4 linked regions of the Schizosaccharomyces pombe genome follow. Changing the gene in region 1 together with any one later gene gives a genetic interaction. Each region holds a gene or a part of one and is shown in the gene's direction. Other genes may lie near its edges. The genes, in order: cph1, hta1, tma22 and chp1.

Evidence for each region.
Region 2: mutations in cph1 (region 1) and hta1 together harm fitness more than expected from each alone (negative genetic interaction), as found in Schizosaccharomyces pombe (2 studies listed by BioGRID).
Region 3: mutations in cph1 (region 1) and tma22 together harm fitness more than expected from each alone (negative genetic interaction), as found in Schizosaccharomyces pombe (2 studies listed by BioGRID).
Region 4: mutations in cph1 (region 1) and chp1 together harm fitness more than expected from each alone (negative genetic interaction), as found in Schizosaccharomyces pombe (2 studies listed by BioGRID).

What each region holds. Positions count from the first base shown.
Region 1 is NC_003424.3:797,549-801,504, forward strand, and holds cph1 (Clr6 histone deacetylase-associated PHD protein-1 Cph1), read left to right. Parts: upstream 1-1,818; 5' UTR 1,819-2,001; coding exon 2,002-3,216; 3' UTR 3,217-3,433; downstream 3,434-3,956. Other genes in the region: CCR4-Not complex subunit Mot2, read right to left, coding at 1-681, 770-949, 1,000-1,052; ATP-dependent RNA helicase Upf1, read right to left, coding at 3,762-3,956.
Region 2 is NC_003421.2:1,410,636-1,414,237, reverse strand, and holds hta1 (histone H2A alpha), read left to right. Parts: upstream 1-2,056; 5' UTR 2,057-2,315; coding exon 2,316-2,714; 3' UTR 2,715-3,094; downstream 3,095-3,602. Other genes in the region: exocyst complex subunit Sec5, read left to right, coding at 1-601; histone H2B Htb1, read right to left, coding at 1,374-1,754. UniProt on the Schizosaccharomyces pombe protein: Core component of nucleosome which plays a central role in DNA double strand break (DSB) repair. Nucleosomes wrap and compact DNA into chromatin, limiting DNA accessibility to the cellular machineries which require DNA as a template.
Region 3 is NC_003423.3:4,333,662-4,337,025, forward strand, and holds tma22 (mitochondrial translation initiation factor), read left to right. Parts: upstream 1-1,931; 5' UTR 1,932-1,957; coding exon 1,958-2,026; intron 2,027-2,079; coding exon 2,080-2,583; 3' UTR 2,584-2,819; downstream 2,820-3,364. Other genes in the region: protein Dbl6, read left to right, coding at 489-1,541; vacuolar protein sorting receptor vps10, read left to right, coding at 3,351-3,364.
Region 4 is NC_003424.3:2,210,277-2,216,168, reverse strand, and holds chp1 (heterochromatin (HP1) family chromodomain protein Chp1), read left to right. Parts: upstream 1-1,823; 5' UTR 1,824-2,309; coding exon 2,310-5,192; 3' UTR 5,193-5,359; downstream 5,360-5,892. Other genes in the region: Rab11 family GTPase Ypt3, read right to left, coding at 1-354; aim18 (chalcone related protein), read left to right, coding at 5,494-5,892. UniProt on the Schizosaccharomyces pombe protein: Component of the kinetochore which plays a role in stabilizing microtubules and so allowing accurate chromosome segregation. Has a role in the RNA interference (RNAi) pathway which is important for heterochromatin formation and accurate chromosome segregation.

The sequences.
Region 1 (3,956 bases):
GTCATTGACACTTGTGGATGAACATGATCAACTGTTGTAATATGCTGATTTTGTGCAGCTGGACTACTATTAGCCTCTTCTAACGGTGTTTTCGTAACAGGAAGTAGAGGTGTTTTGAATGGAAGAGAAGGAGAAGGAGAATGAGTAGCACCATTTACCACATTAGGTTTAGTGGAAAGAGGACGGGTATGTTGAAGAGATGCCAAGTCTTCTTTAGTATAACTATCCACCTCGTCACCGGGTTCATGTAAATACATGCAAGAAGGATTGGGGCATTGCTGATTCCGTAAATAAGAAGTGCAATATTTAGTGGTACCATAAGATGCGCGAAGATGTCGCCCATCACTTACGCTGCCATCAATTGCAGCAATCGCTCGTGCAGCATCTTCTTTTCTTTGGTATGTAATATAAACTCCAACATGACCATTTGCAGAATTTGCAGCAGCCTTCTTATTTATTGCAATTTTAATAATCTTTCCGTATTGACCAAAGTATTCAGGTCCCTTCAGAACGTTGATATTCTCCTCATTTGCAACTTTGGGAGAAAGGCCGTTTACATAGGCAAGGTTCTTTTGTACAACACGAATATTTGCAAGATGCTTCCTGTTTGAAAGCTCGACTTCCTTCCTCTCTTTCTCGCGTTTCTTCCTCTCGTTTTTTCGATGTAAGTCCATCTTCCATCTAAAAACATTAGCGACATGTTTAAAAATAAAAGTGAATTTAAACAAGATTATGCTTAAACAAGAATTCTATAATCTGAATTACATACTCCTCTGCCGTGACAGGCCGCCATTGAACATTTTCTTCAGTGTACAGACGGCGACATGCAGGACAACGGCCATTTAGATCTTCTTTGATATGGTGCCAGCAAAATCTACAAACTCTGTATCCGCATTGGCATGGTTTGAAGTTTTTATCAGAGATATCAATTTCTTCCATACATAGAGGACTGTTGCAATTGTCAGTTAATTTTGATACTAATCGGCTAGTAAAACATACCAACACATGTCATCCTCATCTTCTGAAGAATATATCTCTTGCGTTTTTAACATTTTGTGTGAAATATGTCAAATCTCCGTCACAGTGCTCTCCAAATCGATACTGTTTAAGGTCGCTCGTTATACAATACAGAGGAAGTCTTCAAATATCTTAAATCAAATCTTTGATTTTAATTTAATTTAGTTAATTCCCTTAATATTCATTAGACTTCAAACAAATATTTTTTAAAGGGCAAACCGAGTTGTGGTTGGTTATAAGTTTACTTACAACTTAGTGTAAAAGAAGGAGGCAATGACTAGGTGAGAGGTTGGATTTGAACAGTATATACCACACGAAAAATAGCAATTAATAGACATGAATTAAGAAATTTGAGAAAATTCTTATTCCAAAGGTTTTTGGAATTGTGTTTGAACAACAAAAAGTACCCTTAAAAGTTTCACCGTCTATAATTTCATCTTGATAATTAATTGCAGTAAACGTTTGTAAACGAATGTATTATATATACAACTTTTTCACGTTGTGGTCAAATTCTTTAGTTATTTCATCTTCTAAGTAATTAGTGAATATATTGAATTGACGAAAAAACGATGAACAACATAATAAGAGGCATAAAGTGCTTCTCTACTTAATTTACGCTCCATGTTCCATCAAATGGATAATAGTTTTTAACAAAATGTTCAAATATTTTACATATAGAAGGGAATTTATTCTTATGATAATCATTTATACTAAATGCTCCTCTCGAAAATCAGATATCTTTAAGTAGTTTTCTAAGTCTAATTGCAACGACGTTTGGCGTTCAAAGACTTGTTGTAACTTAGCATCTTCATAACAGCGTTGCTTCACTATAATATACTTACAACCTCGACCATTGTTCTTTTTTACGATAACCATTAATTTTACCTTTAATATTCCTTAAAACATTAAGGATAGTATTGATATTTCTAAGTGCTAACCGTCGCGTATTACATGTTGCTTTGCTCATAGCATGGGAAGTATCTAATGGCATCCTCTATAAACAATTCATCTCAACCTACAGTACCTTCAATTTCTAATAATAGTCATGGCGACTCTTTCGTAAATGAAGGTCCCCCTTCTAATTTTAAAAATAATTCTTTAACATCATCAACTCACTCTTCAACTGACCATGTAAATGTCTTGCCAATTAGCCAAGACAAAGAGATGGATATAAGTTCTCCAGTGAAAAAACAAAAAGCTAGTTATTCGAATAAATCTCCAAATAAAGCACCTATTCAAAAAAGCCGGGGTAGTTCCCTAAAAAGTCATCTCGAAACCGAATCTCAACAAACTCCTGTAAAGCGACGGAGACGAAAAGCGACTATACGCAACGTCGACTATTGTAGTGCATGCGGAGGAAGAGGTCTTTTTATTTGTTGCGAGGGATGTCCTTGCAGTTTCCATCTTTCATGCTTGGAACCTCCCTTGACTCCTGAAAATATTCCAGAAGGATCTTGGTTTTGTGTGACTTGCTCAATCAAATCGCATCACCCTCCTAAGCACCCTCTTAGTATATGGTCCCAGCTTTACGATTGGATTGATTCTCAGAATCCCTCGCAGTACCGATTGCCCGACGACCTTGTGCATTATTTCCATGGAATATCTCGTGGGGATACAGGTGCTTATAAGGAAACTGAAGGAGAAATGGATACTGACGAGTTTTCTGCTTTGCCGACTGGCTCCTCTATCACTAATCTAGCTTACTGTGGTTATTGCTCTAAGCCATCAATGGGTGCTTGTTGGGTCTATGGTTGCCAGCTGTGTGACACCTTCTATCATAAAAATTGTAAAGAGCATGCTAAAAAATGCTCTCATGACTCCATTGGAAAAAAAGGTATGAGAGTACCAAAAAACGCCGTGGTGATAAGGACGCCCTTGGTGTTGGATACAACTTCTAATACTCTTAATCCTAAAGTCATGATTTCAGGATGGCAATTTCTTATGGGAGAGTTTCCAAGTGATGAACTTCTCTATTTCCCAAGATTACCCGTGAGTTGTCTCTACAAAGTTTCAGAAGACGGTCTCATCAAAGATTTTTTGTACGCGATTGGCATAGAAGCTAAAAAGTTTAATAATGAAAGGAAAAAACGAGAGTTAGAGGTTATTCCTCCAGACGTAAAAAGCGCACTACTTCCTGCGAGAACGCACCCAAACCTACCTATTGCACTACGCACTTTATTCAATAAGGCACGCACTTGAATTTTTACGATATTTTTACATTTTGTATAAAATCAGACTACGTTAATCTAATCTGTCGTGTTCAAATCGTCAGAAAAGGTTGTTTTCTGTTATTTTTTTGCTAATGTTGTATTTATAAAACCTCTTAGAACTGGCTATCTGTTGTAATTGGCTTATTTTACATTACTTTTCTCCATTAAGGCTTTTAAAAAATTTTCGTTATGCAATTAATCATTGCAAATCCTTCCTAATAGGGCAAAAGTTCTATTTTATACTAACAACTTCTCAATACTTAAATTTTATACGCGTATTGTACCGTGTGAGTATATATAAGTATATATAAGTATATATAAGTATATATGAGTAAGATGCATTTACTAGACAAAGAGGAATAAAATAAAAGAAAGTGATAAGGAAAGGTTCTATTACTAAAGTCTATTTAACAGCCATATCAATGGTTTAAAACGCTTACAGACCAAACGGTCCATAAAACTTGAACACCAAAAATATCAACAAATAAAAGATATGTTGGCATTCGTAATTACAAGTAAGCAAATACTTATTAACTAGAACCTAGTAGGTTCGTCGAACTTGCTTTCATCATCACCAACCTGACTTCTAAAGTCTTCAAAGTCGGTAGCGTTGCTTTCTCTTCGTTTGTATTGAGCAAAGACATTCCATTCTTCAAGATACGAGGAAGAGTATAAGTTCGGAAGATTAGAAAACGAAGGTAACATGGCAGAACCGGCATTCTGTATAGG
Region 2 (3,602 bases), on another chromosome or scaffold:
TGCTTCTAAAATGACAACCTCTCTACCTGTTTTCTCTACCTCCATTACCCGCTCTGATGTTTTACACTTCGTAACTCGACTGTTAAACTTGCGTTCACGTTTGGTACCTTACCAAAAGTTTCTCTTACAGACATTTCCTCTTAACGAGGTTTCTCCCTCCCTCGATCCGAGAATTTCAAAATCTCTTCGAAACTTGCAAGATCTTTATAAATTGTTGGCCATACGGGATACCAGTTTTTCCAATACCACACCCTCTTCCATATCCAAGTTGAGCATTCAACCACCGACCTTCCAATTGTTTTCCACTCTAGAAACCATATACTTAGAATTAAAAGACTCCATGCCTCCTAATGAAGCGGCAGATTGGATGATAGCCACAACGTCTTGTATGCTCGCTCAGTTTGCTTTACACTCACCATATGCCTTTTTCCACGACATTCCTAGTATTTCGCATTTCTTAAATAAATGCCTTCCACCTACCATACTCGACTTGCTACAACAAATCCAAAGAAAGGCAGAAGCCAGCTCCATAAGTCCGACTACGGAAACAGCTACGAAAACACGACTCAAGTTTCAGTTTATTGAAATGATCTTTTCATAATATTATATTATTATTAATAGTAGAATTACTTTACAATCTTTCCAAACATATATAAAATCATTTGCATAGCAAACATACCAAACCACATCAACTTCGCACACTGGATTCTTTGGGATATTTTGAATGTGAATAATAATATTCCATTCACCATCAATCTAAATCACCAACATAAACAATAATAATAATAATAAATCCATTAATAAACCAAGATGCCCAGGAGTGGAACGGGAAATGGAGTGTGAGAAGTGTCTGTATGAGTGCCAATGACACAAATTATTTCCATACATGGCGGAAAGGAACAAACAGTCGAAAAAAAAGAAACTCAACTCTCCAACCAGTGGTGATAGCTATAAAATGCACAAGGGAAGAAGATTAACCAAGGGAAGAAAAAGCATCTCGTCCCCGTCGAATCGAACACAAAACCCAATTTGATCCAGTACGACTTGTGCAAAACAAAACACCTTTCAACTCCACGAACCGGTCATAGAAATGAAGAACCATGTGTAATGTAAAAAAAACTATCGCGTGATGTGCTGCACCTGTGTTGTTGTTGTCGTCATTGTACGGGGAATAAAATAGGAATGCGATACAAAAGGCGGAAATGGAAAAGAGGAGGGAACGAAAACGTTAAAAAAGGGAGGAGGAAAATATATATTTCCAAAAGAGCAAATAACCTACCCCCTTTTGTTTCGTGAGGTTGTCATTGTCGAAATGGAAGGCTGTGGAAACTCATCAGCTGACTAAAAGACGATTGCACAATCGTGCGATTCGCTTACTGAGCAGAAGAAGAATACTTGGTGACGGATTTGGTACCTTCGGTAACGGCGTGCTTGGCTAACTCACCGGGAAGAATCAAACGAACAGCAGTCTGGATTTCACGGGAAGAAATAGTGGACTTCTTGTTGTAAGCAGCAAGCTTGGAAGCCTCAGTGGCAATACGCTCAAAAATATCGTTGACGAAAGAGTTCAAGATACGCATGGCTTGGTTGGAAATACCAGTATCAGGGTGAACTTGCTTCAACACCTTGTAAATATAGGATGAATAAGTTTCCTTTCTGTTTTTACCACGCTTCTTATCAGCAGACTTCATGGTATCCCTAGGAGCCTTACCGGCGGGAGCCTTGGAAGCGGGTTTCTTTTCAGCAGCAGACATTTTTTACGATTTAAAAATTGGTTGTCGAGAGAATCTCAAAATTGATGGACTGAACTAAGTAATTGCAATTGTAGGAATTTGATAATCCTAAACTTTCGTGCAATATCAAGTTGTTGGTATTAACTAACATGCCTGCAGGCGACGCGATGGTTATATACAACTTGGGCATCACAACCCTAACCCTGGTGTTTAGCCATGCGACGCGGAAACGTCATCTACAAGAACGCGTTAGACGTGCTTATACGGAAGATTAGAATTAGTATATATATGAAGGGTGCGCGCTCCTATGTCTCCTTTTCCCTATATCGCGACTTTTCGTTGTTTAGGATACCTTTTGATCCATACACGTATTGAAATTGATATAAACAATTGATCCTTAGTTGATAAGGAGATTGATTGTCCGTAAAGGCTGAAATTGCGAGAAAATTCTGTTAATTTCACCAAATTTGATCCATTCGCTGCTTCATCGTTGACTGTTATCTTTTTTCATTAAAGAAGGAAAAATCTTTTTTTTTTAACTCAAACTTTTATTTTTTTTATTTAGTTTCAGTATTTTTCGTCATGTCTGGAGGTAAATCTGGTGGTAAGGCTGCTGTTGCCAAATCTGCTCAATCCCGTTCTGCCAAGGCCGGTTTGGCTTTCCCCGTTGGTCGTGTCCATCGTTTGTTACGTAAGGGTAACTATGCTCAACGTGTTGGTGCTGGTGCTCCCGTTTACTTGGCCGCCGTTTTGGAATATTTGGCTGCTGAAATTCTCGAATTGGCTGGAAACGCTGCTCGTGACAACAAGAAGACTCGTATCATTCCCCGTCATCTTCAACTCGCCATCCGTAACGATGAAGAGTTGAACAAACTTCTTGGTCACGTTACCATTGCTCAAGGTGGTGTTGTTCCCAACATCAACGCCCATCTTTTGCCCAAAACTTCTGGTCGCACTGGAAAGCCTAGTCAGGAGCTGTAAAGTCAGTCGTCAAGTAAAACATTTTGAAAGAGGATGAAGGGAAAGACATTGAAAAGTTGTAAAGGACCTTTCTTTTTTTACAACCCCGCAATACTTTTTTTGGTTGTTTCTCGCTTCTAAACCATGTTTGGTTCTTTTTCCTTTTGAACTTTTTGCGTCTTTCTTTTTCTTTGCTGTTATTGTTTTCGTTATGCCTGAACTTTAAGGATGTTTTAGATGCAGCCAAGTCATTCTCTACTAGTTACTTTTACTAGTACTTGAAGGGCTTTTGCACAAGTAATTCCTACTTGAACTGGCTCCTTTGGTTTTTTTTATTTCTTTTTTATTCTCCCTTAATTATAATATTGTATAGTAATGAGTATATTTTTCAAAATCCTATATGAGAGTATGTATCAAATGAATAAATAGATTGTAGAGTGGAGATGAACAGATTGATGAAAGGAGTGTCATTAAACATTGAATCGAGCAGTACATGCAAAAGAATAGTACTTAATTTTTTTTTACAATTAATGCTTTTGAATTTCCAGAATTTTTTTTCGATGCAGTTTTTTTACTCTTCTTTCGTGAAACGGTAGACGTTTGCTTCTTTTGAGTTTTTTCCTTCGCCGATTTCGAAGCTCGGTCGCACCAGTACAGCACAATTCCAACTAAAAGACCAAGCATTTCATAAATTGAGAATGCTTAGATTTGGTAATTTTCACGTTTATTTTCCCTTTTTTTCTGTCTATATTTCTTATGGGCTATTTAGTCATTACGTCCAACCGATTGGTTAATGAATTGTACCCGGAACCGGTAAAGCCAGTTAACGAGAATATGTAAGCAATTTTTGGCAAGTTGGTGAATTTCACAAATTCATTTACCCATAATGCTGCTTTTATCGTTATTTAT
Region 3 (3,364 bases), on another chromosome or scaffold:
AGACTATTTGTGCAATATTTATTTCATTCAGTTTAATTTCAGTTATATAGAGGGACAGTGATAATATCCAGAATGTATAAGCTAATTTCACTTGTCGATTTTTTAACTTTTGAATTTCCTGCTTTACATCTCTGAAGCAAATTAAAATTGATGAGTGTATCAACAATATCCTTACTTGAATATAGTCTGTCCTAATATTTACTATGTATAAAGAAGCGGCTTATACAATTCTCATTTATTGATTAAGTTAATTTCTGTTAAGCTTTACTATGAGAATGGTGATTTGAATCCTCTTTTGGAATTAACTATGTTTAAGCTTATGTTTTGTACTGCTCCCGAGATCTTAACTGAAGCCTATCGTCACCTCGTCAATACGAATTTTTTTCAATTGTAAAGCATATGCAATAAAATATAGAATGATTATTTAATATAGGGCCTTTATATTATTTTTAAGTCTTTGTGGTATTTTGTAGGGATATACTGTCGAAATGGATTCATTTCATCCAACACCTGGAAAACCGACCACAGCAACATCAAATTCAAGTCTGAACTTTTTTGTAAGAAACAGAGAGAAAAGTATTAGGTGCTCAAGCTTGCATCAAACTTTTACAGCCCCTTCTCCTGAAGCTTCACCGTCAATCGGATTAAGATATGTAAATTACTCAATGAGCGACGAAACTGATGAATCTATGTTTCCACTTGATTCAGAACTGACCGATATGGAAGATGATGATACCGAGTACATATCAGACTCTACAACAGACTTGCCGTCCGCTGCCATGGCTAGAGGAACTAGGCAGTTGAGTTACAATGAAAATTTGGATCAGCGTTCGTTTTCTAAGACTCCAAATAAACATATTGAAGTAAAAAATTTAAAGGACCTTTGTAGTCCCTCTCATTCTGGAAGAATTTCGAAATCTTTGTGTCCTGTGTTACGAAGAAAGTCTTTGCTTCCCAAACCGAAAATGTTCCAACGCGTAGCCAGTGCCTTGTATGAAGAATCATCTCCTCTGGAGTTGGAAATCCGTAGTGAATCGGAATTTTCCAAGATGTTTTTCGAGCCTAAAAAATCATCATCCTTTGTTTCTAGAGCTGCTTCGCCTGCAATGGTAGGTCCGGGTGTACCGTTTTACAGTTCTATAACAGGTGCAAATGGTAATGTTCTCGCACCATCAGGATCTTTGAAAGCTGTTGAGAACTCTGATGTAATTGAGTCATCTGCAGAGGACAGTAGTAATACGGACAATCCATCTACTAAGCCTTCGAATGAGATGCCCATATCTCCTCTGCTTTCCAGTTCTGTATTTTTTAAGGATACAGAAATGTCAACTCCGAATAGCAATCACTCCAGATCCCGTACCCCATCCTCGAAAAAGCGAACTCGATGGGGCGAAGAAATAATCGACTTATCGAAGAGAAGAGCTGTATCTCCTTCCATTTATTATGATTTGGATAAGAAATGCTCTCCTATTCATTCTGTTATGGTCAGCCCCTTGAAGATTAAGGATACTCACGAAGTCTTGATGAATTTAAAGTTATGAACTAGCTCACGCTGCGAAGTGTGTATTTATTTGTACAATAATTGAATAATTAATTTCCTATCTTTTTACGCAACTTATTTTGTAGTAGCTTTTTATCATGTTGAATCTAGTTTACAATGTTACAGCGCCGTTATTTTTATTACTCTTTATAAAGAACAGCTTGTTATCATATCATTGTTTTGATATGTAAACAAAAGTCCTAAAAATCCGTTTACGGTTTCAGCAGCATAACATTATATTCTAAAATTTAAAACGACTTGAGATGTGAATTACTTTTTATTTAACGAATAACTTACAGCTTTTAAGCATATTTTACTCTCATAGTATATTTAGGCTTCGCCTCTTTGAATCTCGCTTTCTATTTTCGTTCCCCCAGGTAGTCTCTACTTTAACCTATACTGCAAGAAACTCAAATAATGGCTTCACAAACCATCCCGAAGTTAAAATCAGTATTATACTGCGATGTTTGTACATTGCCCGTGGAAGTACGTAATAAACAACTTGTTTTATAATTATATTAACTATGAATGCGTTGTAGTACTGCGAATTTGAGGGCACTTTAAAAAAATGTAAAGAATGGCTTAAATCATCTCACCCGGACGTTTATGATAAATTGTACGGTGAGCAAGACTTAAGCAAAGACCTTGAAAACACTCTGAATGTTAGCGGAACTAAAGATTCTAATGCAGAAGAACAACCGGCAAAATTGACGAAGGAGGAAAAGCGCGTTGAGCGTGAAGAAGCCAAACGTATGGCATCCAAGGTTTTGATAAAAACCATTGAAAGAACTAAAAGAAAGAGAGTCACCACAGTTCAAGGTCTTGACGCATTTGGGATCGAAACGAAAAAAGCTGCTAAGATGTTGGCCAACAAGTTCGCGACCGGAGCCAGTGTCACTAAAACAGCTGATAAGAAGGATGAAATTGTTGTACAGGGTGATTTGAATTATGATATATTTGATTTTATTTTGGAAAAGTTTAAAGAGGTTCCGGAAGACAATATTAAAATTGTCGAAGATACGAAATCTAAGAAGAAGCAGTAATCTTAATTTTTATTTTTTAAAAATACTACTAAGTATGCTATTTTTGGGGCTATTTTATCATAAACTGTCTTGTACAATCTTGTACAACCTAATTTTCTGTTAAATGGTTGCACAGTTAGGATACCGGTTTTTAATAATTTATTGAGACTCATGTTTTTTAATGTTTCTATATAAAAAATGCCTAATTATCAATATTTTACAATTTATTGCCTGTTGTATTAGTATGATGATTTGAAGTCACCATTTGTTTACTTACATTTCATTGCCAAGGCTATAGAGTAGTATTAGCATTCGTTGTGTATGCCATGAATTTCTTAGCAGTTAAAAATTGAAATTGTGTTTCTTTACGCCTTTTTGGACGTTATCAGCATACAAAATAAGGCAGCTTAGTAGTTCATTAAGAAAATGTTGTCTTGAATGTAGGAATAAATTATATTTTGACAAAGTAATCGATTCTACAAAGAATGCTGTGATCATTGTCACCTTTTTAAATTTGATAAAATTGATTTACTATGCAAATAGTTGTAGCTTCATTATTAACTAAGAAGAACCGTGATAATAACATTACTCAGTAGCTAGTTCTTCAGTGTACTTAACTTTCAGGGGACAGGATTTTAATATCGATACAAACACTTAAGAGATCCGAATGCGTATTTCGTTATTGAAGTTTTTGAGTCATTTGCGTTGAGGCGCATTAAGCAATGCTGATGGGGAAGTTGACGATTTCACCATTCGAACATTGCCAAAAGCAACGAAGTTGAGGAATTATGTTTTTTTTGAC
Region 4 (5,892 bases), 1.4 Mb from region 1:
GATAACGATGTTGCTGTCTGCATGCTCACGAAGCTCCTTTAACCAGCGGCCCACATTATCGAATGAAGATTGTTTTGTGATATCGTAAACAATCAGAGCACCAACAGCACCACGGTAATAAGCTGAGGTAATGGCCCGATAACGTTCCTGACCGGCAGTATCCCAGATCTGTGCTTTAATTTTTTTGTTGTCAAGAACAATATTTCTAGTAGCAAATTCAACACCAATAGTACTCTTGCTTTCGATATTAAATTCATTCCTAGTGAAACGCATAAGTAGGTTTGACTTTCCAACACCACTATCCCCAATCAGCACAGTCTTGAACAAATAATCGTATTCGTCCTCTTGACACATGGCTAAGTTCTCTATCGGTAAATCTACGAACAATTTTTGTTAACAAATATTTAAGGTCAAATAATATCAAGGTATATACCTGTAAATTACAATGAACCCTGCTTTCGATAGTCGAAGAATTTACTTAGTCGTAGTTTGTTGTAGGTAAGTTGCAGAGGGATATCAGAAAACCTAAGGAAGTAATAATCCTTTATCATGGTAACAAAAAAAAGTCCACTAGTGCCACTGGCCGTTAAAATGCATATAACGCATTCCAATGATTCATTAAATAATTATACTGCGTTACAAAGAATGTCGTAATCATGAGAAGGCTGGTGTCGTTTAGTGATTGCTATCATCAAAATCATTATGCTGTTGTTCACTATAAAGCGCTATTTTGTAAACATTTTAAAATGCCTTTGATATAAAGAAGCGCAAGTACTCAATTGAATGCAAGTACTATCAATTATATGAATGACCGATTGAACCCAATCGCAAAACTGGATATGGACGGGTTGGTATGGGTTTTTACAGTGCGATTAGTCAGTACTATACCCATTTTAGTCCTGCATCAAACAATGATGTAGAAATTCTTTGAAAGCAATGTTTTGATTTCCAAGTTACAAAGTTATCTAGCCAAAGAAAGAATATTTTAAGTTCCGGTTTTTTCAGCAGCTTTTTCTCACTTTTATAATGGTCACAATGATCGAAATTAAAAATTTGAAAGAATAAAATTGGCGGCTCAATTGAAATCTTTTTCTTTATGCAAAAGTTATACAATGTTGGATGCTGCTCATGGCATGCAGGCATCCTTCATGCAGAAAGTTACTTGAGTAATCCATCGAATAATTATCGTTGGCAAATCTTGGGTTAACAAGAAACAAAAAAATCCTGCACATAAACAGTTTTTCTTATTAAGTTCATTTCATGGAAAACGAATAACATAGTTCCGTAATAATATAAGTAAATGGATCCCTTGGTTAACCTCTATATAAAATTAATGCAAGCAATTATCAAAAGAGGTCGTGTGGTTTAGATGGTTATAATTTCTGCTTAACATGCTAGTTCGCAGACGGTCCCAAGTTCGAGTCTTGGCACGATCATTTTTTTCTATCGTAGTAATTATTTACTTTTCTTATTGTACTACCAGTTTTGGAATGATATGTTGTGTTGAATTCGTTTATATAGAGTTAACACATTTAGAGGTATTATGTATAAACGCATCGTTTAATAAATTGCAGCGCTCAAAATCTACTCATTGTAGCTTTTTGAAAACAAAATTCATTATTTGTTTAAAGTTTTTCTAACTTACACAACCACCCAGAAAATAAAATTAGAAGTTCAGGAGGAATGAGAAAATTTTAAACATTTATCAATTTACCAACAAAGTTTTTTGACTACTAGTACCTCATGTATGCAACTAGTAACACTAGTGGTTAGTGAGTATTTTCTCAAAGTACATATGTCTCCATAGGTGTCTTCAAATCTGCAACCTCAACCTCACACACTTGATTAATGCAATAAAACTCCAAACCCAATCGAAAACTTATTTTTTTGTATATTTAACGGTTTGCGTTGGTGACACGACGGTAAAATCACGCGGATTTTGTTTGATTCCAAAATTCGAGTGCATAAGCCATCTTGCTTATTGCAGCGAGACTTCGAAATTCTAACATCTAAAAGCTTCATTACTGGAATTATCTGTTGTTATTCTTGTGTTCCATTGGTAAAAAAATCACAAGCAAAAGGGAAATATTTGAGCCATTTTAGAGGTTATACTCTGCCCTTCATGCAACTATAAAAGTAGTTGAAAGGGAAGAACTTTGGCTAATAGTTTTGTCAAGGAATCTATTCAATCTTGCTTAATTCCGTTTTTTTTTTAAATTCATATCTTTATCCTTTTATATATTTTTTTGTTGTAATACTTCAATCTCTCTTAGCGACACGTAGGTGAGCAAAAAACCCGCTACCTTGAAATGGTATCTGTTAAACCACTTCCTGATATTGACTCGAATGAAGGTGAGACAGACGCGGATGTTTATGAGGTGGAAGATATCCTTGCTGACCGCGTAAATAAAAATGGCATAAACGAATATTATATAAAATGGGCTGGCTATGATTGGTATGATAATACTTGGGAACCTGAACAAAATTTATTCGGTGCGGAAAAAGTGCTTAAAAAATGGAAAAAACGGAAAAAGTTAATTGCTAAAGGCTTGCTTGAACCTTTCGATGCGGAAGATAATGAGGCAAAGAAAATGAAGAGAGAAAAGGAGATATTGAGGCAACAAAGACAAAAGCGCAAATCCGAGCTTACCCAATTATCTCAAAAAGTCAAAGAAAAATTCAAAAAGATGCGTAAGAAGCCTGCCCGAAGGATTGTAACCATCGCAAATGATGAAGAGGAAGAGGACGATCAGACAATGGATGAGGATGCGTTTGAGAGAAAAAGTATGCAAGGGGAATTGAAGGAGAGGAATTTGACCGATAAAACTAGCACGCTATCCACATCGTTTGGTGAAACTAGCCCTGATGTTAATCCTTTCTACTTATCAGAGTGGCCTACAGTTACCGACAGTATTTTATTGTCCAAAAGCCTCTCCAGCGATGCAATACCTTTGAAAAATGGCGAAATTAAAAGCACAATGTTGATGCCCAGTGACTCTGACAACTCAGTTCCCGGAATTCAAAATTCGAACAATCTTGAAAATACTGGCGCTTTTGTTGAAAATGCGAATTCACCACAATCTAACACCCCCTTGTCAACCTTTAGGCATTCAAGCCCTTTAAGTCTGTCGCCAGTAATAACTTCCGATAATGATGTTGCCAATTCATTATTTTTTAGCAATTCGACTCCTCTTCCTTCCTCTTTGAAGATAAAAAAGGAAGCACCGAAATTAGAAACGCATACGATATTAGTTAGTGATAATTCTGGTTCTTTAACGAAGCAAGATATTTTATCGTACTTTGCTTTTATCAAAGGAAATATTGAGGTCTTTTTTCTCAAATCACCAAAGAAAGACAAAGTTTGTAATATGGCCTACATTCAATTCGATTCTATCGAACAAGCCAAACTTGCGTATGATAAAGGGCATCCAAGTTGGCATGTAACTTTAGTAAAAGGGAAGATATCAACTGATATGGAAGAATGTAAAGTCTCAAAGTCTATTTTAAAAACAACCCCTTCAAAGAAAGCAAATGCAAGGTCCGTTTCTTTTACACAAACAACAACAGATACCCTTTCTGAGTCGGAAAAATTTGCTAGCAATGTCGATCTGGACGAAAATTTCGATTTCAACGTAAACGTGACGAATGAAGATGCTAAGCAGCTTAAGAAAAGTGTTATCGGAAGTAGTTGGACTACTGTTAATAACGACTGGAACAGTGTTTCTAAAAGCGATCAAACTTTTGAAAATGATGGAGCTAGCAAAGTAGTTCCGGCTGGTAATATTACTTTAAATTCGGATAACTCTCTTCACCATTCGATAAGCGAATCCGAAGATCTTTCTTCAGCAAGCACATTGTCTGATTATTTTAGATTCGTTTTGCGAGTCGGAAAATCTCTCTACTATGCTGGAGAATTGTCATTTGATATATCCAAGCTTAAGGCGGAAACTGAACATCAACAGTTGTTACGAAGTTTAGTCAGTTGCAAGCAAGTAGATGTTTTACGTTTTGTTACTTCACAATATCTCGAGGTATTTGGTACTTGCTTGACTAAAGTTCTTTCCGGAAGTCTTTGTATTCGAAGCGATGTTGATATGACTCACTTTAAAAATATACTAAACCGCGGCAACGGTGCTGGCATCGTTCTGGGTAGTAACTATACATTATTATTATTTACAGAGGATAATAATGCTTTAATGAATTTATACGATTGTCAAGGCCAAAGCAATAGCCCTTTTTGGATGGTGATTTTTGAACCTTTAGAATCAATCCTAGTCGAATGGTCGGCAAAAAATCTAAGGCCTAAAAAGCCATATCATAAATCCCAATCTTACTTGTCTTATTTACTACAATTAGGCCACATCGATTTACATAAAATAGGCGCTTTTCAAGCTACACAAATTTTAATTGTCTCTAAACAGCCTTCTCCGGAGGCAGAAGAATTGGAGGATACTTTTAGAGAAGCTGCTATTCCGACATTTCGAGGACTCGAGATTCCGGAATCTTTGTTTTTATCACAGAATGTTTTTGTTTTCCTGAATGTCTCACTAGAGGATGATTTTGATCAACTGCAATTTTTAACACTGGCGAAAAGGAAAAGTTGTAAATTTTTCTTATTTGGTTTGTCACTCCCTCTCAAAAGTCCTAATGATTCACACGTGGGTACGGACTTTAAGAAAAACAATGAACCCCTTGATAAGTTGACATATTCACAGTACTTAAGACCGATGTTTCCTAAGGGTGGGGTGGTATCTGTTACACTCTCAGCACTTATAAAAACACCACGGCTTTTGGAACTCATTAGTCCATTTCTTGAGATTAAAAAAGATTCATGGATTTTAATTCTACCCCCATCAATTGTGGATATGGTCAAGAGCTATTTTGTAACAAACAATCCAGACAAAAGTCTCTTGGAAATTCAAAACTTATTGAATACACTCCAGCGCTACCTGACCAACCCAGCGCTGAAGAACGTGACTTTGTATCAGGATTGGGATATTGTGATCGATGATAGCGCTGATGTATCTTTAGCCAGCACTCTACAATTGTACCAGAAAAAAAATTATGATAAATATAGAAGGTTCGTATTGATTCACGAGCTTAAAAATGAATTGACGCCAGTTAATGGCCTTGACATTGTTGACTATGATGAGTTCAAAGAGACTTTTATGAGAGCTATTGGTTTAAAATAGTCGTTTTATTTATTTTGGGATACGGCGGACAATGGGATATATAGACTGACATTTTTTCTTATTACGAATGGATAGGAATACTTAAAATTAAACTCAAAGACTTATACTAGAAAATAACAGTCTACTCTTTAGAAATTAGACGATTAATTAATTAATTAATTTTTTCACTATATAATAACCGTATGTTTCAACATTGTTAGTTGTTTTTGCGCACCTCCTTAAAATCTAGGATCTCTTGGAAAAACATGTGATCCAATACCAACCGGCTAATATCTGTGTGTGTGTATTTAAACTAAACAACATGTTTGGTACTCGTTTTTTTGCTTATCAATTTTGCAAGAATTGGTTATCGAAACGACCAGGATTGGTCTTTTGGAGCTCAGTAGCAACAATAAATGCCATGTATCAAACTCGCCCTCTATACTGTGAGAGTGTCACCAAGACAATTCAACAAACATACGAAGGATTAGTTCAAAAAAGAATTAATAATGAGGATGAACTATTTTTGTTAGGTTCAGGACCGCGATATGTTTCTTTTCTAAGTATTCATGTGTATGATATCGAATTGTATATTCAGAAGAAAGATGTTCAAACCGTTCACACTATATTGCAAAAGGAGGTAGATCCGAAATTAGGGCTAGAAATGAGTATGAAAGACGAAGAAATTGGAAGTCGGATCGTGGCAGCGCTATTGAAAAAC